3 linked regions of the Stegostoma tigrinum genome follow. The protein of the gene in region 1 interacts with the protein of each later gene in a biochemical or structural test. Links are inferred from orthologs where the notes say so. Each region holds a gene or a part of one and is shown in the gene's direction. Other genes may lie near its edges.

Region 1 (8,285 bases):
ATGATGATGGGATAGTGTAGGGGGAGGGGCTTAGATTAGTCCACAGGTCGGCGCAACATCGAGGGCCAAAGGGCCTGTTCTGCGCTGTATTGTTCTATGTTCCAATAAAGACTGGCCAGCCAGTGATGCCCACATCACACAATTTTTTTAAAAAATGTGGCTCCTCAGGTACTGAAGCAGTCTATATTCAAATGCAAAAAGACCTGGACAATATCTGGGCTTGGGCTGAAAAGTGGCAAAGAGTTCCAAAGACACACAATTGTCAGGCAGTGACCATCTCCAAAAGAGATAATCTAACTATTGTCCCTTGACATTCAGTGGCATCACCAACACCGAATAATCCACTATCAACATCCTGGGGGTTACCATTGACCAGAAACTGAGCTGCAGATACCAGATAAATACAGTGGCTACAATAGCAGGACAGAGGCTAGGAATACTGTGGCAAGGAACTCACCTCCTGACTCCCCAAAGTCTGTCACCATCTACAAGGCACAAGTCAGGAGTGTGATGGAATACTGCTCAGATTCCTGGATGAGTGCAACACCAACAATACTCAAGCTGCTTGACACCATCCAGGACAAAGCAACCTGAAGAATGGTAATACCCAAAATGTTGACTGCTCCTTTCCGCCAGATGCTGCGTGGCCTGCTGTGTTCTTCCAGCCTCCTGTTTGTCTACAAAGCAACCTACTTGGCTGGCATCACATCCACAAACATTCAGTCATTCCACCAATGATGGTGAGATATAGCAGAGTGCCATCTACAAATACATTGTAGTAATTCGCCAAAGCTCCTTAGATAGTGCCTTCGAAAACCCAGAACCATCCATTTCTAGAAGGAGAAGAGCAGCAAGTAATGGGAACATCACCACTTACAAGTTCCCCTTCAAGCCACTCAGCATTCTGACTTGGAAATATATCACAGTTCCTTCAAATGTCACTAGGTTAAAGCCCTAGAGTTCTCTCCCTAACGCCATTGTGGGTCTATCAACAGTGAACGGGCTGCAGTGCACCAGATGTCAGCTCACCACCACCTTCTCAAGGGCAACTAAGGACAGGCAATAAATGCTGGCTCAGTCATTGACACCCGTGTCTCACAAGTGAATAAAAAAAATGTGTTGGTGTTAATTCTCCAAAGTTTCCTAGATTCTGGGAAGATTCTGTCAGAATGGAGAGCAACAAATATAACCCATGTATTCAAGAAGGAAGAGAGGTAGAAAACAGGAAACCATTGACAAGTTAGCTTGATATCTGCCATGGTCAAGGTGTTATCATTAAAGAAGTTACAGCTAATTTTATGGTCCAGACAAACTCGCCTCAAAAACATTTAAGATAGTTTGGGCTTCAACTTTTTCTTATTTTTAAAGGCAGGTGTAAGGTGTTGAGTCCTGGCTACAAATCAATTGGTCAACTACCAAGCTTGAAGCAGAACACACTTTATTTTTACATTTAGTAAAATGCAAACAAAAAAAAATTGGAATAACTTAGAGTCAGAGAATCATACAACAGCTGAGCATGGAAACAGACCCTTCAGTCCAACTCGTCAACACTGGCCAGATTTCCGAAATTAGTCTAGACCCATTTGCCAGCATTTGGCCCAAATTTCTTTGAACCCTTCTTATTCATATACCCATCCAAATGCCTTTTAAATGTTGGAATTGTAGAAGCTTCTACCACTACCTCTGGCAGTTCATTCCATACATCACCACCCTCTGTGTGGAAAAACAGCCCCTTAGGTCCCTTTTAATTTTTTCTCCTCTCACTTAAAACTGTGCCCTCTAATTTTAGACTCCCCTATCCTGGGGAAAAGACCTTGACCATTCACCCCATCTATGTCCTTCATGATTTTATAAACTTCTATAATGTCACACCTGAGCCTCTGACACTCTTGGGAAAATAGCCCCAGCCTATTCAGCCTCTCCCTGTAGCTCAAACCCTCCAAAAAGGATCCTAGGCAATCCAAAATGGAAGAAGGGGAAAAATTATGGTTGTAAGAGCTGCTCCTTTTTTTTGAGGTATTTTCAGGATTGGAACTGGTTTCCTTGCACGTTTGGAGCAGTAATTACTATTTTATAAGCTGTTGCATTGTTTTTTGGAGCTTAACTCTATTGGAAAGCTTAATAGAATAATAGATTATTTAACTTGTAAACAGTGACTGTTCCAATACAGTACCATTCAATAAACATATCCTTGGCAAAGGCAAATTCAGTAAAATAGATTGTCTTGCATGCAATTCTAGCAAGGCAAGAAGAGAACCCCAGCTTATTGCAGTAACAGGGAGAGAATAGCTTCCACATCCAGCTTCAAAAACCCAGCAACTGTTGAAAGCTTAAACTAAAATCCTGGTTCTGCAGGATCTTGACTCCACCCCTTCATGCCGTCCCTACTATTCCAACTTTCAAAAAAAAACCAAGGCACTTCCAGGCACTGGAGCAGTACCACCGATGCGGCCTGTGCAAGATCCTGTGAATCTGCTGGGAAGAAAGACGCAACACCAGCTTCATTGACCAGGCCAACATTCCCAGTGTCAAGGCACTTACTATCTTTGGTTGGTTACAATGGGTTGGATATGTCATCCACATGACCAAAATGAGACTCCCCAAGCAGGTGCTCTACTCCCAGCTTTCAAACAGCAGGCAAGCACCACATGCACTGAGGAAGTGCCTCAGTATTACCCTCACGCCTCACTGATGAAGTACAGCATTCCCACAGAGACCAAGACTGTCCAAAGTGAAGGAGGTTCATCCAGGAAGGCATCAAGAAGGCATTGAGACTTGCCATTGGGAAAAATTGGGAGGCAGGCGAAAACAGCGCAAGGACTGTTCTGCCACACCAGTTTCTCGTGAGCACTACCTGCCCCAAATGTAACAGAGCCTATGATAGTCAAATTGATTTGTACAGCCACCTATGGACTCACCCTGACAATGGAAGTGTCATTCTCATCTGCGAAGGACTGCCGATGGTGATGCAGATATCCCAATTATTAAGGCTAATAGACTGCTATCCTTTATTACAAAAGCAATTGAACATAAAACTAGAATACTAGGGCATTGGTGAGACCACTTCTGGAAAACTATGGTTTCTTTACCCAAGGATGTAAAGCATTGGAAGTGTTTAGTTGAGGTATGAACAGGTTGCCCTCTAAGGAAATGTTGTACAGTCTGGGTTTGTTTCTACTGGAGTTTAGGAAAGTCTTTGTTGAAGTCTACAAGATCCTTAAAGGTGGCTATGAAGAGGATATGAGATAACAAGATGCAGAGTGGGATCAACACAGCAGACCAAGCAACATCAGACAAGCAGGAAGGCTGACGCTTCGAGCCTATGGTTGAGCACAGAATTAACGGGTACTGTTTGAAAATTAAGAAATGCCTTTTGGGGCGTAAATTGTTTACTGTTAAGTTTGTGCGTGGGTTGGGAACATTCTGCCTCAGAAGATAATTGTTTGGGTCATCAAACAATTTGAAGTTGGAAGCAAGGGAATGAAAGTTATTGGGTTAGAGGGAAGTGTAGAATTCAAACAAACAGATCAGCTAGAATCTTCTTTAACAGTGGAGCATTGGTTCGAGGGGCCAAATGGTCTACTCTGTTCCTAATTTGCATGTGATAGAAAATGTGAAAAAATATTGCATATACATAGGGGCGACTTGGTGGTTAGCACTGCCGCTTCATAGCACCAGGGACCCAGGTTTGATCCCAAGCTTGAGCGACTGTCTGTGTGGAGTTTGCACATTCTCCCCGTGTCTGCGTGGGTGTCCTCTGGGTGCTCCGGTTTCCTCCCACAGTCCGAAGATGTGCAGGCTAGGTGGATTGGCCGTGCTAAATTGCCCATAATGTTCAAGGATGTATAGATTAGGTGTGTTATAGGGGGATGTGTCTGGGTGGGATGTTGAGGGTCAGTGTGGATTTGTTGGCAGAAGGGGATGTTTTCACACTGTAGGGACTCATGATTTATACAAAATTATTCATAAATATGTAACATAACGGTGGCAGATGTAGGGGTTCAGATCAGATCAAGACAAGAAATGGCTTGTTAATCTAGTTTTGAAACACAATTATTGCCACATACTTAAAATAGTTTTCAGCCCTTTACCATTCATAAAACAATGAGATAATTGGAGTTTTAAGGTTGGACTTTTTTGACGGTGGTGCTGAGGAGATAGGTTCAAGGCTGCAAGCAAAATGCCCACCAGTCTGTTTAATTTTCAACTCTTTTGATATCTAGGATTTCAAAAGCACTGAAGCCTGGATACTAAACAATATCAATACAAAAACCAAATGTTCAAACTGCATGTGTTTCACGCTAATAGTAGCCATCCCAGAATATATCAAGTTGGAAGATGCTCCAATTAGTGTACATGATAACTAAGCAATTCTAACACAAAGTAGAAAGCTGATGAGAAAATTCAAACTGTTCTTCCTTGCATTGAAAATCCAGCAGATAGGAGTGAGCCGGCGGAAGAATACACCCAAAGGGCATTTTGAATAATAAGCTCATATAATAGGTAACTTTAACTGATAGGCCAATTTAACAACGTTTGGATTTATATTAGCAAAAAAAATGGATTTCCAGCTTTCAATTCAAGTCCTTTCCGCATCGAAAAAGGTGATTAGTTTGAACGTAACCGCTGGAACTATTTCAAGTGGAGGAACACACCCCTTGATCGTTTTGCCTTCCCCCTCCTTCCCCAAAGAAAGGGAGGAAAAAAGTTTTGCTGAGGCATCAACCAAACCTGTTAACCGGACGTTCCCCGCGCACTGTTGGATTGATTGACGGGGGATTCTGTCCAATAGGCGCGCGGTATGTGGCCGAATGGCGGGGCGTCTGGGGCAGGCGGGCCAATGAGAGTGGGGGACGCGCGAGCGCTGGGGGTGGGATTTCCAGGTGGAGAGAGCGGTCGGGGGGAGGCTGTTTAATCGTTTTTCTCCGTCAATCAAAGAAAAAGGGAGCGAAGAGGCCAGCGGGGAGCGAGGGAGAGAAAAAATAAAATAAAATCTCCTCAGGGGAGGATGTGAGAATTAATAATAAATTACCCAGAAGGCTAACGACATTTTTTGAGGGCAATTTTGATTTATTTTCTCTCGAATCGTCTCGGTTGATAAGCGGCGGTTAGCGAGCAACGCGAGGCACAATTGTGTGAAATTTTGAATCGTGATTGCCGTTTTCTTCCCCTCCTTTTCCAGCCTCAGTTAGCCCCTTTTATTGTTATTTTCCTCTTCTTCTTTACCTTTCTCATTTTTCCCCCTCCCTCCCACCCACCGTCGCCCTATACCCCCACGCCCCCGCCCCCCCATTCCCACTCCCCATTCCTGGCTCGAACCATGTCGATCTTGCCCTTCACGCCGCCCATCGTCAAGCGTTTGCTGGGCTGGAAGAAAGGCGGCGAGTCGCAGTCTCCGTCTTCTCAGTCTCCGTCGCAGGCGCCGCCGCCGCCGCAGCAGCAGCAGCAGCAACAACAGCAGCAGCAGAACAACGGGCAGGACGACAAATGGTGCGAGAAAGCCGTCAAGAGCCTGGTGAAGAAGCTGAAGAAGACGGGCCAGCTGGACGAGCTGGAGAAGGCCATCACCACCCAGAGCTGCAACACCAAGTGCGTGACCATCCCCAGGTAAGGAACGCCTAGCTTCTGCCAAACCTCTCTTCCTAAACTGTGCAGCCAGGTTAAGTTGTTACATTTTAATGATACACTTTTTTTGGGACAAGTTTATCTTTGTTATTTTAAAAGTCAACTCGATTATTTACCAACGAGTGTATCCGTAGGCCCTGTGGCCAAATGCACGATTGTTTCACTTTTTTTATTTTCGGAATCTGAGGGAAATATTTTGTTCCAGTTTCTGCTAATTATAAACATTGGTAATACTTGACACTTGGTTGATGTGTATTTAGATTTTTAGAAATGTGTATTAACTTTGTAATTTTAGGTTGTAACTTCATTAATGTAGCTTTGTTCAAAAACCATAATAATTTTCTTGATGATAAAAAGGGACAGTTTTATTCCATTGAACAGCATACTGGTTTGGATAAATTTGTAATTTTTGTGATAACATGGTGTGAAGCTGGATGAACACGGCAGGCCAAGCAGCATCAGAGGAGCAGGAAAGCTTGACGTTTTGGGTCGGGACCCTTTTTTCAGAAACTTTTTTTATCTTCAGTTAGCATAAAAATAAGTTGTTATTACTGTTTGTTGAAGGTTAGTGTTTTCTGCTCAAGTACAGACTCAAGCCCCTGGTTAATGCTTTGGATTTGATATTAGAACTTTTTATATAAAACATTGTTAGGGGGAAATCAGGGTTTTCCTTTTTTGGCATATTGTTAAAGTTGCATTTCTTATCAGTCTGTGTTGCCTCGAGAAAGTGCTCCTTACAGTGATGGTTTCATGAAGGTGTTTGATAGGAAACTTCAGTATTTTGATTATGTCTGTTAGAATGGTAGTACTTGGAGGTGGCAGTATTTCCATACCACTGTTTTTGCCTCTTCGGTAGCAATAGTTACGAATGTGGTTAACTTTTTTCCATTTTATACGGAGAAGCGCATGCAGGATGTAAGTAGCTGTCATTAGGATGATTTTAATCTGATTTCTTTAGTGGATAGTTTCTTGAAACAAATGTTTTGAGATTCCATTAAAATATTTTTACAGAATTTGTTTTTTGTGCTCAACTTTTTTCCCTTTTAAAATGGATGCACTTTCTTAAATGCCATGGCAAAAATAAAGAAGGGCTCTTTTTCCTGAAATTCACATCTGATCCCCTAGCGGAAATAAGAAATGTTTATTCATCTGAGCCAAAATGATGGAACTATTGTGTTTATCTTGGCATGCTATCGTTTTCTCGCCCAAATAAGGGGCACAGAAGACATAGTGAATATATTATAACTGCAGTCCCTTTCTGCAGTTTAGTTCTGAGTCATTTAGGCTGGTAGCCTAGTTAATAACTGAGAGGAAAAACAATGACCTTTTTAGTTAATAGTCATTCCATTTTTTAATTCATCACATGTTGTGGAGCATTTCCATTTAAAAACCTGCCTGTGTTCTTGTAGAAATTTATTGTAGACTCCTGGAATGTCGTGAGTTTTTATTTCCTGGAACAGAATCTTCAATTGTTCTAATTTGTAACAACTCAAAATTTGAACTGTAAGCTGAACAGAATCATTGGATAATTACAGCATTAGCAGAAGATACTGAAAATCCTCAGTATCTGATGCAAATGGATAATGTTGGAGATCTTCAAACAAAAACAAGTTATGTCCCTGTTAATGGCCTGTTTTTACATATTTGAATACTGATGAAGTTATTTATGCATTTCCAGCATTGTGTTTTCCCATTATGGAAAAGTGGCGAAAAACCCAAATGATTTATTAGCCTAAATTATCTTTCCTTTTTAATGTATTCATGTAATTTATTTAATGCTGACTGTGTCCAACAGGTTTGGGTAAGAACCAAGTTCCAGCATTATTTAATATGCATCTTGAGTGTGTATTCCAGTTTGGTGCAAATGTCCAAAGCTCATCTTTAGCATTGATCTATAAATTTTACACCAGTTCGATCTACGTGGAAATGGGATGGATTTATTTATGGTTGTATAGCTAGTAATATTTTAAAGTTGGCTAGTTCTGCCAATAGGAGTTCACTGGCAAATGTGAATCAGACCTCTAATAGTGTAAATTTAATTTTATTTCTGTGTATTGAATATTTTGCTGTTTCTAGAATCATGAGGCCATTTGGCCCATCATATCTGTACATGATTTGTGAAAGCTATCAAAAGTTAGTTTCTTGTCTTTTCTCCCCCCATAAATTCCAGCATACTTTTGTATTTCAAGTATTTATTCAATTTCTTTTGAAAACTTAAGTCAGCTTCCATCATACTTTCAAGCAATGCGTTACAGAATGAGTCAATTTAACAACTTTTTCTCCTCTTGTTGCCTTTTAATCTCTTTGGTTGCCTTAAATGTGACCTTCTGTCACTGGGAAATAGCTTTCTCACTTGTTCTCCTGGAAGCCTTTTTTTAAATGTCCCTCCTATTTTTTTCTCCTTCATCTCTGTTGTAAGGTACATAAATGTGCTTTTTGTCATCTTTTCATAGTGAAATGTTTTTTCCTGGTATCACTGTAATAAATCTCCTGTATGTCTTTCCTAATTGTTGACATCAGTGCCATTGGCTGTTCTAGTATCAAGTTAAGACAATGTGCCCCCGTTTTAAAAGATGTGCAATCAATCAAATTAAAATAAAACAACTTACTAAATGGTAGTATTATAATTTGCAACTCCTTTTTCTTCTGTCTTCCATTTT
Region 2 (7,338 bases), on another chromosome or scaffold:
ATCAGATCGGTTCTCACTTCTGGTTGCTATTCAATGAGCCTCCTGAATAGTCGATGTATGGATGTGAGCAAGGAATAAGAATTGACTTGCTTATGGTGTGCTCCCATGACTAAATAGTCTACTTATTCTGACTGTGTAAACTCAGAGTATGAATTAATTAGGTGATAAGGGAATTAAATCTGTATCCAATGGGAGTCAATGCTTCTGACAGTGGAAGAAAGTAAATTGATTTTAAAAAAGTAATTAAAATGTTTTTAAAAATGCTTGTACAATTTCGTTATACAAAGGCTCAATATACTTACTCGGCAACAATCTCCAGGACCTCACCATTCAGTATATAAGTCCTGCCCCGATTTGCCTTTCCAAAATGCAACACCTCGCATTTGTCTAAATTAAACTCCAACTGCCACTCCTCGGCTCATCAGCCTATCTGATCAAGGCCCATTGTACTTTGAGGTAAACTTCTTAGCTTTCCATTACACCACTAATTTTGGTGTCACCTGCAAACTTCCTAACCATACCTCCTACGTTCACATCCAAATTATTTACATGAATGACAAAAAGCCATGAACACAGCACTGATCCTTCTGGCACACTGCTGGTCATAGACCTCCGGTCTGAAAAGCAACCTTCTACCACCATTCTTTGTCTCCTACATTTGAGCCAGTTCTGTATCCAAATGGCAAGATCTCCCTGTAATCCACGTGGATTCATCCTTCTACAATGTGAAACCTTGTTGAATACCTTATTGAACACATCAACAAAACTGTTCCTATTCAGGAATTTCACTGAGAAACTACAGCGTGAAAGTACAAAAAGGGTAATTGAGAAAAGGTTGCACTCTATAGAAGTGGAGGTTGGGGTGCAGAGCAGAAGAAACTTTATTATGCTTTAAAATATACTGCAGCTTGTCAATTTGAATGATGGAAAGTGGAACAGCTACTGCACTGAACAGAATGACAAGTCCCAAGAGCAGGGGAAGAGATTATAGCATTTTGAAAGAGTTTTGATAGGCAGGGTGTTGTATTGCTCCTCCTGGACCCACAATTTTTTTTAAGAAACAAGAAACTTGCAACTTCAGTCACATCTTGCAGTGATCCCCTCAAGAATAACTGATTATAGCATTCAATGCCTGGTGCAACTGGGACTAGCATGCATGATAAGCTCTTTCCAATTTTTGATTAAAAATATATATGGTGACCTACAATTGTTGGAGCTACCTAACTACGACAGGAGTGCTGCATGCTCATCTCAAAGTCTACTTGGAGAGAGGCAACAGGATTCTGCAAAGCACAGGGAGCTGGGTCTCCTTGCACATGAATCACAAAAACATCAGCATGCAGGTATGGTAAGTAATTGGGAAGGTAAACAAATGCTGGCATTTAATGCAAGGAGGCTGGTGTACAAATGTAGGGATGTCTTGATACAACTGCTGAAGTCATTGATGGGGACACATTTAGAATACTGTGTACAGTTCTGGTCACCTGAGTTAAGAAGGGACACATTTGCATTGAAATCTGTTTAGAGGTGGTTCAGTTGACTAATTCCTAGGATGAAGGATTTGTTTTAAAAGAGCAAGTCTACCAAGTTATGTTAATTCCCATGGCAATTAGGAGAATGAGAATAGATTTTATCAAAAAACATAAGATTCTGAGACAGTTTATCAGGGTGGATTCTGGGAGAATGCTTCCTCCACTGGTGGAAGCTAGAATGAGGATTTGATTTAACTTGATTTATTATTGTCACATGTACCTAGATACAGTGAAAAGTTTTGTTTTGAGTGCAGTCTAATAACAGTGAGGAAGAAGTTGTTCTTGAATCTTGTGGTACATGTTTAAGCTTTTGTATCTTCTGCCTGATGGAAGAGGTTGGAAGAGATTATAACCGGGGTGGGAGGTCCTTGATTATGTTGGCTGTCTTTCCGAGGCAGTGAGAGGTATGGGTGGAGTCAATAAATGGAAGGTTTGCTTGCATGATGGACTGGGCTGTGTTCACAACTCTCTGTAGTTTCTTGGAGTCCTAGGCGGAGAAGTTGCCATATACCAAGCCATGATTCATCTGGTTAGAATGCTTTCTATGGTGCATCTATAAAAACTGATAAGAGTTTTTACAGACATGCTGAATTTCCTGAGCCTCCTGAGGAAGTTGAGGCGTTTTTGTGCTTTCTTGACGGTTGTATCAACATGGGTGGACAAGGTCAGATGTTGATGATCATCACTTCTCGGAACTTGATGCTCTTGAGCATGTCCAAAACACAGTTTAATTATAAGAGGCATCCCACTTAAGACAGGGATGTGATTCTTTTCTCTCAGAGAATGGGGTTTTGTTTATGGAATTTTTTTCTCCGTTAACTGATAAAGCTGGCTAATTTAATAATGTTCAAAATTGAGTTAGACAGATTTTGGACAGACAAGGGAGTTAAAGGTTATGGGAGTCAGCCAAGTGAGTGGAGTTAAGGGCAGATTAAATCGGCCATGATCTTATTAAGCAGTGAAGCAGGCTCAAAAGTCTGAATGACCTAGATCTAATGCTATTTCTCAAGTTATTATTTAGCTAGTTGAATTCTAATATGCTGTTCACAGATGGAAATTTCTAAGCACTTGTCATAATGATCTAAACTTTCTGGTCTTGGCTAAGTCAGGCATATCTATTCAAGTAAGAGTGCGTACTCTAAATTGAGTAAACAGAGAGCAGTATCTTGTTGATTTTTCATTGACTTCTGATCCTGAAGTACTGTGATTGGATTCTGCTTGTATTAGACACCCAGATGACCGAAAAGGAATTAAGGAGTAAGGCTTTGGTTGATTGTGGAATGAGGATTTTACTGTGCTGGATGAATTTCACTAATTCAGCAAAGACTGAAAATTGCACCTATCGCTTCCTGCATTATTGCCTGATAACATAAAGATTGGTACAGTCACTATAATTAAGAAAATATATTCAAAGATGGCAAATTGCAGCAATTTATTCAAACTTTAATTACATTAGAGTTAAATTTCACTACACCTATACAACATGTGTACATTATACATTGACTGTGGCACTGTCATTTGTCTAGTATAATTCTGGGAAGTGATAAATGACAATACTCAAGAGATAGTAAGAAGGGTCTCGGCCCAAAACGTCAACATTCCTGCTCCTCTGATGCTGCTTGGCCTGCTGTGTTCATCCAGCTCTACACCTTGTTATCTTAATGACAACACTCAATTGGAGTTTGTCCCAACATTACACAACTGTTAGATGAGAAGATTTACATTTATATAGCACCTTCACAATACCAGATAAGTTAAAGTCTTTTACAGCCAATGAACTACCTGTATTTTGAATGATAATGACCAGAATAATACATTTTGTGCCAAAAACAGAAATTGCTGGAGAAACTCAGCAGGTCTGGCAGCATCTGTAGGATGACAGCAGAATTAACACTTCAAATCTGGCGATTCTTCATCAAATGTGATGTTAATTGAGACATAATATGGGCCAGGAATAAGTTTCCTGCTTTTCATATAATGCAAAGCGATCTTTTACCACCACTGAAAGGACAGGTGGGGGCTCATTCCAGCATCTCATCCAAAAGTCAGCACCTATGACAGCACATCAAGCTTCAGCATTGAAGAAGCGTGTCGAGCTTTTGTGTTGAAATTCTGGAAAGTTGAACCCACATTTATCTGAGATAACAAGGTGTAGAGCTGGATGAACACAGCAGGCCAGGCAGCATCAGAGGAGCAGGAAAGCTGATGTTTCGGGTCTGGACCCTTCCTCAGAAAAAATTTTTATCTGACTTGGAACTCAGATTGCTATTAAATATCACTAAACCAAAAGTTTACCAAGACAGTTGGTACATGCAAGGTTTATAATGTAAAAAGAACAAAAGTTTATAATGTTAAAAACAAAACAAATGGAGTTCTGTGTATTGCATTTCTTAAAATTATTCATTAACGCAAGGTTACAGTAATACTTATTGTAGAATTGTCCAGCTTACGACAAAAAACCCCTCCCGCTTACGTTATACTAGATCAAACTGACGATCTGTAAACCACAGAACGTGTTTTGTAGAAGAAGCTGCCAGCGACCAATCCCGGTTATTAATGGTTTCTAGTGAACTTTGGAAAAAAATCTCTCCCTTCCGCGTGGCAGTTTGAAAAGCTATTGGTTTGTGAAACCAATTGTTGCATGTTTGTAGCCTGCTGTTGAAATCGGTGGGCAGTGTGCTGGTTCCTGGAAGAGCCCTGGGGGAGTCAGACGCATTCTTGGCTGAGATTCAATGCCTGACCTAGACGCCGACAAACAGAGGGGAGAAGACAGTCTGAGCTGCAAGGTCGTATTGTGTGGATGTGCCGCGTCTTTACGCTTGTAGATCGTAAAAGAGGATTGAAAAGAAGAAAAAAGAAACAAAGTACAGTCTAAAACCAATTGGGGACTGGATTTCGAAGGACTGGTTTAACCAGCATTTGCTTGAAGATCTTTTTAAGGGCACGATTGTGGATATGTTTGAACGTAAGAGTGCTGCAGAAACACAACACGCTTAGAGACTGGATTTCATGAGCTACTTTAATATTGTACGCGGTGGTGGGATAAACTTGGACGCCGTGGCTTTTTAAAGGATTCAGTTGATTTTATACAAAACGGGTGTGCTTTTTAGGGCCAAAAATCATGGAGACTGTACCAAGATCTAGTTTTCAGCCTCACCCAGGACTCCAACAAACCTTAAAGCAGTTTCATCTCAGCAGTATGAGTTCGCTTGGAGGACCCGCAGCTTTCTCTGCTCGATGGGCTCACGAGATGATGTACAAAAAGGAAACTGGGAAGGAAACAGATCAGATTATTCACCTACCCATACAGCCCCCTCCTGTCATGCCAGGACCCCTTTTCATCCCATCGGACCGATCAACGGAGAGATGTGAGACTATTCTGGAGGGGGAAACCATTTCTTGTTTCGTGGTTGGTGGGGAGAAGAGGCTTTGCTTGCCTCAAATTCTGAACTCCGTCCTTAGAGATTTTTCCCTTCAACAGATCAATTCGGTATGCGATGAATTACATATTTACTGCTCTCGATGCACGGCAGACCAGCTGGAGATTTTGAAAGTCATGGGGATCTTGCCCTTCTCTGCCCCATCTTGTGGCTTAATTACTAAGACAGACGCAGAGAGGCTTTGCAATGCCTTACTCTATGGAGGAACTTACCCACCCCATTGCAAAAAAGAATACTCAAGCACCATTGAGTTAGAGATCACAGAGAAAAGCTTCAAAGTATACCATGAGTGTTTTGGAAAGTGCAAGGGACTCTTTGTGCCTGAATTGTACGGTAATCCTCATGCTGCATGTATCCAATGCATGGACTGTAGGCTGATGTATCCTCCTCACAAATTCGTAGTACACTCGCACAAATCATTGGAAAACAGAACCTGCCATTGGGGTTTCGATTCGGCCAACTGGAGAGCCTATGTCCTTTTGAGTCAGGATTACACGGCAAAAGAGGAGAAGGCACGATTGGAACAATTACTGGATGAAATGAAAGAAAGATTTGACTACAGCAACAAATACAAAAGAAAAGCACCGAGGGTGAGCGTTTTTAGAACTTAAGACGCATAGTTTTTTTATAGATTATAAGTTAACTGTTTACGGTACAGAGCTTTTAATACATTAAGGTTAATATTTTAACTTGTTTCTCAATGTCAATAATAGGCACTACAAACATGACTCAGAACTGAACGCAATAAACTCAATTCTTTAATAAAGGTTAAATCATTAATTCTCGGTTTCATAGGTATCGATACTGTATATGCCGGTGTAATGGTACTATAAACAGTTTCTGGAAGTTTGTTTCTCTTTAAATTTGTGGAAATTATGTGTTTGAACCTCTTTCTCAACGTACTTTCCCTTCACTTGGCGGAGAGGTTTTAAAATCATGTATGATACATTAAATACTTGAAGGTGTATGTATTTTAATCGTTTCCCATTATAAATAATGACGTGCTAAGTTGAAGCATTAAGTTGACTGGGCTGTTCAATGTGATAGTTTCAGACAAGGGTGTGTGCTTCGTTGCTCACTAATATGTGGGAGTGGTTTTGTGAGATGTGCATTTGTATGGAGAGAGCTGACTCTGTGAACAACTGCCAAGGCATGGCCTGTGTAGGGCAGTGTTTTATCCAATCCACATCAATTTAGCAGATCTTGAGGAGATTTAATGCCGAAAGGCAAACTGGGGAAGCTGTTTAATCCGTTCTATACTCAAACTAGATTTCAACATGATCATAGCTGTACTTAGGTTTGCTAACGTTTCAATTGGAAACATAGACGCGATTTAAGAATAAAAACTGAATCTGTCCAGACAATCTATTCCAAATTATAAAACTAAACTGTTCAAGAAGCTACGCTACCATAATGTTGCGCTTCAAAAGCCGGGAAAGATCACAAACTTTCCTACCTCAAAGTGCGTTATTTACCTATCAATTCGGATTTCATTCCATAGTTCATCCAAAAATGAAACAAGTTTGTATTTTTATATTTTTCTCCTCTAACAGCACCCATCCCACCCCATTTCATTCTGATTTCCAAAGAGAAGATAGCAGACAGTGCATTGATTGTTCTTTGTGCGTGGGTAAAGGTTACGGCCGTGAACCTTGGCTACCTCTTGACTGAATTGAAAAGGAAACGCTCAACAGTTCATTTGCATCAATTGTTGCGAATTTTAAAAAGCCGATGAGGCATACTCGGCACATTGAAAGTCAAACAGCAAAATCGTCAATGTACCTATTCAATCCCTCGCGCTTTTGGATTTTTTTGTTCCTATTGTAATACTGTACATATTACCTGGGCAATTACAGACAGTTTAGTAAGCAGAAAAAAAGACCTGTGCCAAGGAATATCGGATTGCATTGCTTAAGTCGTTGTAGGAGATATGCTTCCGAAAGAACAGTTCAGTTTAAAAAAAGTTGTTGCAGTGTTTTTGGTAATAAAAACTAATTTCTGTGTAAAAATTGATTTAAAGATCTGATTGAAGGTTTGAGAACTAAGCTCATACATTACGAAGGATGGTTTTATATGCATCTGCAAAAACGAACATGATTAAGTAATGCAAGAAAATAGACATTTAAGAGAAAATAAAGTACCATTAGTGCCATATGAGCAAAACCATATTTTCTACAAGTTTTAAAGGGGCAATTCCAGAAGCTGTTCTGTTGGAGATCAATCCATGAAGATTCTGGATTCTTAATATTACTTGGATATCCATCAGAGTTTTGCTAAAGCGATTCCTTTGATAGCTTGGAAGTCCATGAACAACACATTTCGCCGTGCAAACGGGAAGGTCCCGCCAAAAAGTATAGATCGCGTGC
Region 3 (7,983 bases), on another chromosome or scaffold:
GAGACCGCTCTCTCCGTGACTGTCTTGTTTGCTCCACACTCCCCTCCAACCCCACCACACCCGGCACCTTCCCCTGCAACCGCAGGAAGTGTTACACTTGCCGCCACACCTCCTCCCTCACCCCTATCTCAGGCCCCAACATGACTTTCCATATTAAGCAGAGGTTCACCTGCACATCTGCCAATGTGGTATACTGCATCCATTGCACCCGGTGTGGCTACCTCTACATTGGGGAAACCAAGCGGAGGCTTGGGGACCGCTTTGCAGAACACCTCCGCTCAGTTCGCAATAAACAAGTGCACCTCCCAGTCGCGAACCATTTCGACTCCCCCCTCCTATTCTTTAGATGACATGTCCATCATGGGCCTCCTGCAGTGCCACAATGATGCCACCTGAAGGTTGCAGGAACAGCAACTCATATTCCGCTTGGGAACCCTGCAGCCCAATGGTATCAATGTGGACTTCACCAGCTTCAAAATCTCCCCTCCCCCCACTGCACCCCAAAACCAGCCCAGCCTGTCTCTGCCTCCCTAACCTGTTCTTCCTCTCACCCATCCCTTCCTCCCACCCCAAGCCACACCTCCATCTCCTATCTACTAACCTCATCCCACCTCCTTAACCTGTCCGTCTTCCCTGGACTGACCTATTCCCACCCTACCTCCCCACCTGTACTCTCCACTTATCTTCTTTTCTCTCCATCTTCGGTCCGCCTCCCCCTCTCTCCCTATTTATTCCAGAACCCTCACCCCATCCCCCTTTCTGATGAAGGGTCAAGGCCTGAAACATCAGCTCTTGTGCTCCTGAGATGCTGCTGGGCCTGCTGTGTTCATCCAGCTTCACACTTTATTATCTTGGATTCTCCAGCATCTGCAGTTCCCATTAACCAAGGATAGAATGTTCCCTGCTTTCCTCCATGGTGTATAGCTCGAGTCAATTATTCGTAATGCACTCTATAAATTTGTTGCCATAGCCACCCTTTCCACCTTGATTATCTTAATCAACATGAAGATTAAAGTCACCATAATTATTGTTCTCTTATTTTCATGTACTCCTATTTTTTGTTGCTTTGTACACTTTCCTATGGTGTGGCTACTATTTGGGGGTCCATACAGTACTCGTCGCAGTGTTTTCTTTCCCTTATAACATAGAACATAGAACTATCAGCACAGTACAGGCCCTTTGGCCCATGATGTTGTGCCAAACTTTTACCCTAAACCTCAGGTCTATCTAACCTCCACCCATACCTTATCCGATCATCCATATGCCTAATAGCCGCTTAAATGCCCCTAATGAGGCCAAATCCACTATCCTCTCCGACAATGCGTTCCACGTCCCTACCTCTCTGAGTAAAGTACCTGCCTCTGTCTCTCCTGTATCTACTTCCACTCACTTTTATAACTATGCCGCCTTGTAATCGCTACCTCCACTCTCGGAAAAAGTGTCTTGCTGTCCACTCTATCTATACCTACTGTACCTCTGATCATTTTGTACACCTCTATCAAGTCACCTCTCATCCTTTGTTGTTCTAAAGAGAAAAGCCCTAGCACTGTCAAGCATTCCTGTAAGACCTTCCCTCCATTCCAGGAAACATCCTGGTAAATCTCCTCTGCACCTTTTTCAACACTTCCACATCTTTCCTGTAATGAGGCGACCAGAATTGGACACATTACTCCAGATCTGGCCGAACCAAGGTTTTGCTTAGCTGTTGTTATTTGACTCCGCTCAAATGGACTTTACATCATCTGAGTATAGATTATCTCTCACAACAGTTCTCATTTCTCTTAACTCCTCTTATGAACTGTGCACCCTACAATCTTTTTCTTCCCTCCTGCCTTTCCAAAAAGTCAAATATCTTTGAATGTGATGTTCTGAATTTGATCTCATTGGAACTATGCCTCTGGAATGGCAAGTGGATCATTTCCATTTCCTCAATTTGCACCATTTATCTTATTCTGAATGGTTTGTGCATGCAAAGCAGTTAGGATTGCCTTTTTGCTATGTTAATCTTATTTTAATAATTTAAAACAGTAAAAATTGTTTATTTAAATATTTCCCATTTTTCATTTTCCACCATATATTTTGCTTTACAAAATCAATCTCAAGCTTTTATTCCATCGCATTACCATAATTGTCTTTATGTTTGAATTGTTAATGCTCTAAGTATGTTGTTTTCAAACTTAATGCGGAATTCAAAAGTATTAGGATTACTACTTCCCAGTGGATCTTTTGCTAAGGCACTACAAAATTAATCTTTTCTCATTGCACAATGCTAGATCTGAAGCAGCTTTAGCTCATTTATTCCACAATATGTTGCTTAAGGAAGACATTCTGCAAACTCAACTTCCAGATGAGTTCTTCCATTTGGCAATGTCATTGTTCAAGTTTGTATGAAGATTAAAATCTCTCTCAAATATTACATTACATTTTTTCTCCAATGATTTATTGTTTAATGACCATGACCCAATTCCCACTCTGCAAGGACACTAATCTTCTGATATGGCTAAGTGCCTAACTGACTATGGATAACACTCTGCACTTGAAATGGATGTTGCTTATTGAACCTTTGGACTGACTATAGCTTCCTCCACCCCACAGAGAGCTGGTCCTCTTTGATTTTCCAAAATAGACACCTTTTACATAGAAAAGCATTTTGATTAAAATGTCAAAAGGGCAAGCCTAAAAGCACATGCCACGTGTTTGCTGCTTAATCTGGTGACACATGCTGTTGGTGTGGTGTTGATGTAGCCTGATGGCATACAGCAGCATATCCACCCGCTTAACCGTTCAGTACTCTGAACCATGACAAGCTGCCTGCCTTTCTGTGATAAAAAGCAATGCAATGCAAAAGCAAGCAACCTCTACGTGCAAAGCGAGGGAACATAGAACTTAGAACATTACAACACAGTACAGGCCCTTCGGCCCTCGATGTTGTGCCGACCTGTCATACCGATCTCAAGCCCATCTAACCTACACTATTCCATGTACGTCCATATGCTTATCCAATGACGACTTAAATATACCTAAAGTTGGCGAATCTACTGCTGTTGCAGGCAAAGCGTTCCATTCTCTCACTACTCTCTGAGTAAAGAAACCACCTCTGACATCTGTCCTATATCTTTCACCCCTCAATTTAAAGCTATGCCCCCTTGTGCTCGCCGTCACCATCCTAGGAAAAAGGCTCTCCCTATCCACCCTATCTAACCCTCTGATTATTTTATATGTTTCACTTAAGTCACCTCTCAACCTTCTTCTCCCTAATGAAAACAGCCTCAAGTCCCTCACAGCCTTTCCTCGTAAGACGTTCCCTCCATACCAGGCAACATCCCAGTAAATCTCCTCTGCACCCTTTCCAAAGCTTCCACATCCTTCTTATTATGCGGTGACCAGAACTGTACGCAATACTCCAAGTGCGGCCGCACCAGAGTTTTGTACAGCTGCAGCATAAAGGGAGGGAGTACCAAGAAAGCAAGCGAAGAGTCCTAAGTTGCCTTATATGTAGATACATGTGTCTCTGAATATAAAGTTATTTGAAGAAGAATGTAAATCATATTGCCCCTGCGCTCCAAAATCAAACGTTAAAGAATAGAAGAGGTGTGAGATTTCAACCCAGAGCGTCACGATGGTGCAGGCTTGTGGTTTGCCGATGCTGACTTCTGTGGACGAAAGTTTGCTGAGAATGGTAATCATGGTAATTATTGACATGTCTGGAACTTGTACCATCTAGATTTTTAGGAAGGCTTGGAACAAAGTGAGTTGGCTTAATAATGAGATGCAAATACATGGGAAAGATGTCGCTGTGCAAAAGTGTGATTCTTTAAGAGCGTCAAAGTTCAACGCGAAAATTACGTTTTCTCGAAGTGAAGATTCTGATGTTTTCGTTTTCATTATTTTTCCAACTTTGTTGCCATTGTCTATGCGGGAGCAGAAGGACATTCAGCATATGTGCAATTAATAACTGTATGTGATAGAATAGCATGCAAGAATGTCTAATAAAGCATGCAGGCTCCTCCGCTTTATTGAAAGAAATATACAGTACAACATCAAGCAAGTTGTGATAAACTTGTACACATTTCAGTATTATGTCCGGTTGTGAGCACTACAGTTTTGGAAGACTTTAAGCATACAGCAAAGTTAACATGAATCATTCCAAGCAGCGAAAAGTTCAGCTACATGATTAGACTGGGGAAATTGGGTCCTGGCAAAGAGAATGTTGAGATGAGATTTTGATGGGCATATTCAAAATGATGAAAGAGTGTGACAGAGTAGATAGAGCGAAAGATTTCCTATTGCGGAAGAGCCCAAAACCCGAGATTAAAGCTAACCAGCAAATGAAACAATGTCAAAACTTGAGTTAAACCTTTTAAAATGCACTGCCCGAGAGTGTGATGGGGATGGGTTCGATCATGCCATTGAAAGAGAATTGGGTCATTATATAAGTAAGGGAAACAAAGTGCGGCGCAAAAGTTAAAAAGGTAGGGGGACATACCTAATTCAATTGTTTCTGGCAAAGCGCCAGCATGGAGAATATGGGCCGAATGACCTCATTCCATGCGGATTTTAAATATCTAGGCCGTCTTTGTTTATGAAATTATCTGGACAGTGTTTACTCTTGACCGCTGCTTCAATGGAAACGAAGCAACAAATGCGCCAAACAGTTTACAAGCCATCGCTGTAACGTGCTCATGAAAAGAACCAGTCGCTGCTCCGGGAGTACGGATCTGAGGAGCTGTTCGCAGAAGCAGGTAAGATATAGACCAATTGAAAATAGTCGTTCAAGTCCTAACTATCTGATTGGCGATTCGCTCAAGCGGCGTATGTTCTGAGGATACGGATTGGTCAGTTGAGGGGTCGTGTCTGTGGAGGGTGGGCGGGAGTGACTGGTGATTGGTCAGATTGGATGGCGCGGTCGGATTGGCGGTTGGAAGGCTGCCGCTGGTATTTTCCAAACGTCAAGCGCGTGATGGATGGCTGTTGAGTTGATGTCGATGGAGAGGGTGAAGCGTTGCGGATCTTGCCTATTAAGATGCAGAGTGGATAATAGCGACCAACGGTGTGGCCGGCGACATTCTTCAACCCCGTCTTGGAAGCGATGAACCCGCGTCTGGTAAGGAAACAAAGTCCGGGAGCGATGTGAATTGTTTAAAGGGATTTGGACCGCCCTCCGTGCGACCCCGACGGCTCGCTGGATATTGCGCCTGCTGAGGAGATGGCAGCCGAGGGCAAGCGTGTGCTTTGCGGATATTACCGAAGCACTTACTCCCATGCTTCGGGTAGGCCTAAGAAGACAGTGTTGAAATAGTCCACCGCCTGGCTTTCTGAGCACGATTTTTTTTTCGGGAAGGTGTGTGTGTGTGTGTGCGCGCGCGAGAGAGATTGGTTTGTGCCTTGTCTAGCAAGTCTGCAAATATTTGAATTTCGTCATTAGTCCTAGATTTAAATGCTGCGGATTAAAGCAATCGTACATGGCACAGAAGGTGGGGGAGGGTGGGACTCATTCGTTTATTTTGCAGGGTGTAACTCCTGGGCTTGACGGCACTACTGCGTTTTGACTAGGAATAGATTTGACTTGGCTTTCATTAACAGAAAGCATAACTGCAAAAGATGTGTCCTGATCTGTTTGTAAAAACTGCTTCGCACCTTCGTAAAACACGTAATCTTCATAGACAAAAACCACAAGATTTTCGCAATTCCGAACAGTGGGTGCAGAGGTCATACAGCCCTTATCGTCTCCCGTCAAAACAAAATGTGCCGCAGAATCATGCTAAAAAGTTTTCTCATTATTAACCTCCGGGTTCTGTTGTAAAGTGCAAACGACGACAGAGACAAAATAGTGCAGGACGCTTTTTGGATCCAAAACAAATGAGATCAGTCGTTGGTTTTAGCCAGTTTTACCCTACGATGTCTAGGGAATATTTCTGTCTCCCAACAACTTTGTTCTTAAATATTATAAATTGTAGCAATGATATTGAGTAATGCTGAAGGTTCGCTGCATACTTTTTATGCTTACTTTTTTGGAGCACAGGGACGAAGAAACGACTACACACAATTCAACCGAAGGTTTCGAAATTCAGTGATCCGTGTCAAAATTCATCTTTAACTTTTAGATTGCTGAGTGTACAATGATTCTTAAAAAAGTTACTTTGTGTGATTCCTTACTGGAAAGGAACAATAAGCTTTGTATGACAGTAGTCCTGCAGTTGCTAGTTGCTGACTGCCGTGCATTTAGTGTGGAAAGCAGGTCTGGCTGTTTCGTAAAGAGGGAGAGCGCTAAGTTGGTACCGTGAACGAATTATGTCAGTTTGTTAGAGGATTAAGAAATTAAGTTTGCAATTTAGTTGCGATTAACATTTGAGTTTTTAAAGGGTGAGATGGGAAAATGTGTTTATGAAAAATGCTTGCTGAATTGGGATTAGTTAACTGGAACAGAGATTAAGGAATTTTCACCATTGTAAATTTTGACAGTAGTAATGAGGAAGAAAATTTGGGATTGTCAGTACTCCTGTTTATAGCTGCTTCTGCCAGGAGATCTGCTGTCATGGCATGCCACGTTCATCTGCCCTGCTGCATTCTCGTGTGTCTGCTGTAGCTCGTTTGTAACCATGCCATGACATCTGCGATTCAACTGTGCCTATGTCAACCCCTCTTCTGCCCTCCACTAGAAGAGATCTCTGCAGCATTTCAGTTCCGATCTCAAAATTCTTACTTTATTGGGTGTTGTTTTTCTAAGAATTATTTTTGTTTTTGGCCTTCATTTGACTTGTATATGGAATTTTTTAACATGCTGCTTAATGTCCATGTTCTTAATAGATAAAAAAGTCAAGATTTTATTTTATAAAATGGCACTGTTCAATTCAAATAGCTCATGAGATGGTACCATAACCTATTTCAAAGGAGAATTATGCACACGTGGAAGGGAATAAGCAATTTGAATTGCTTTGAGTCTTTCACTGCCTTAGCACTTGCCAAAGCATTTTTCCAGTTTGGTGATTTTGGGTTCAACATTAAATGTTGGCCAGGTTGTGTGGAGACCTCTTCCACCCTGTTAAAATACAGATTGTATTTCTCCAGATGTGCTCTAGTTTACTGCTTTTATTTGAGTAAGATGCAACACTATTTTCCAGCTTGTTTTTTCAGCTAAGATTATGTGCTTAAGTCTCTGTAACAAGACTTGACCTTGTAACTAAGATGAGTGTGCTATTGCTGAACCAAAGCTACTGCCAAAGAAATATGAGATTTATGTAGATGGTTGCAGTTGAACAAGTTTCTTATTGTACTTAACATTTTGACTCCAATTTTTTTTGTAATAAGCAAATCATCTGTCTTTCGTTAAATTTCAAAGTTAGCTGAAGTTCTAGTTTTAAGGAAATAAATGCCAAACGGGAGATTGGAGGCCATCTTGTGTAAATCAAAACAGTAAATATGGAGTCTTTGGGTTGCTTTTAAAGATAACACAAGAATTTTGGACTGTGATAACTCCTAGGTCAAATTGTTTGCAGTCGTAACAATCTATAATGTTACTGTATTTCATGATCTTGTTTTTTAGCAGTAATACTTGGGCATTTGTCGTACAATAAACATAATTTATTATCGGTGCATGGTAAAAGATGATGTTGATTAAACTGAATCATAGATTTTGTCATTTGGTTTGAGAGATATTTGCCAAACATTTTGAAGAACGTATTGTCAATCACTTGCTGTTATACTGCCTGACTATGGTAACTTTGTGCGAAGAGTCGGGGTCATGTTCCAATATACACATGCAAGATACCCAGCTCCTAGATTTCATCATTTGTATTGACCCCCGTTGCTTCCTTGTTGCTGGACTGACAAACCTTGGAGATGTGGGAATTTTTTCTTGGTTAATCATTGGTGAAAACTGAAGCCACTTTTTAAGATAGAATCCCTACAATGTGGCAACAGGCCCTTTTGGCCCAACAAGTCCACACTGATCCTCAGCACATCCCAGCATGCTGCCTGATTTTC

The links.
Region 2: the proteins of smad2 (region 1) and skia form a complex in vitro, tested with the Homo sapiens proteins (4 studies listed by BioGRID). The link is inferred for Stegostoma tigrinum from reciprocal best matches to the Homo sapiens genes SMAD2 and SKI.
Region 3: the proteins of smad2 (region 1) and zinc finger FYVE domain-containing protein 9-like are reported together in a solved structure, tested with the Homo sapiens proteins (2 studies listed by BioGRID and IntAct, with this or other methods). The link is inferred for Stegostoma tigrinum from reciprocal best matches to the Homo sapiens genes SMAD2 and ZFYVE9.

The regions. Positions count from the first base shown.
Region 1 is NC_081354.1:160,634,304-160,642,588, forward strand, and holds the start of smad2 (mothers against decapentaplegic homolog 2), read left to right. Parts: upstream 1-4,890; 5' UTR 4,891-5,320; coding exon 5,321-5,607; intron 5,608-8,285. UniProt on the Homo sapiens protein: Receptor-regulated SMAD (R-SMAD) that is an intracellular signal transducer and transcriptional modulator activated by TGF-beta (transforming growth factor) and activin type 1 receptor kinases.
Region 2 is NC_081381.1:23,172,523-23,179,860, forward strand, and holds the start of skia (v-ski avian sarcoma viral oncogene homolog a), read left to right. Parts: upstream 1-4,221; 5' UTR 4,222-4,653; coding exon 4,654-5,562; intron 5,563-7,338. UniProt on the Homo sapiens protein: May play a role in terminal differentiation of skeletal muscle cells but not in the determination of cells to the myogenic lineage. Functions as a repressor of TGF-beta signaling.
Region 3 is NC_081361.1:64,109,122-64,117,104, forward strand, and holds the start of zinc finger FYVE domain-containing protein 9-like, read left to right. Parts: upstream 1-4,923; 5' UTR 4,924-5,104; intron 5,105-5,117; exon of another isoform or gene 5,118-5,341; intron 5,342-7,983. UniProt on the Homo sapiens protein: Early endosomal protein that functions to recruit SMAD2/SMAD3 to intracellular membranes and to the TGF-beta receptor.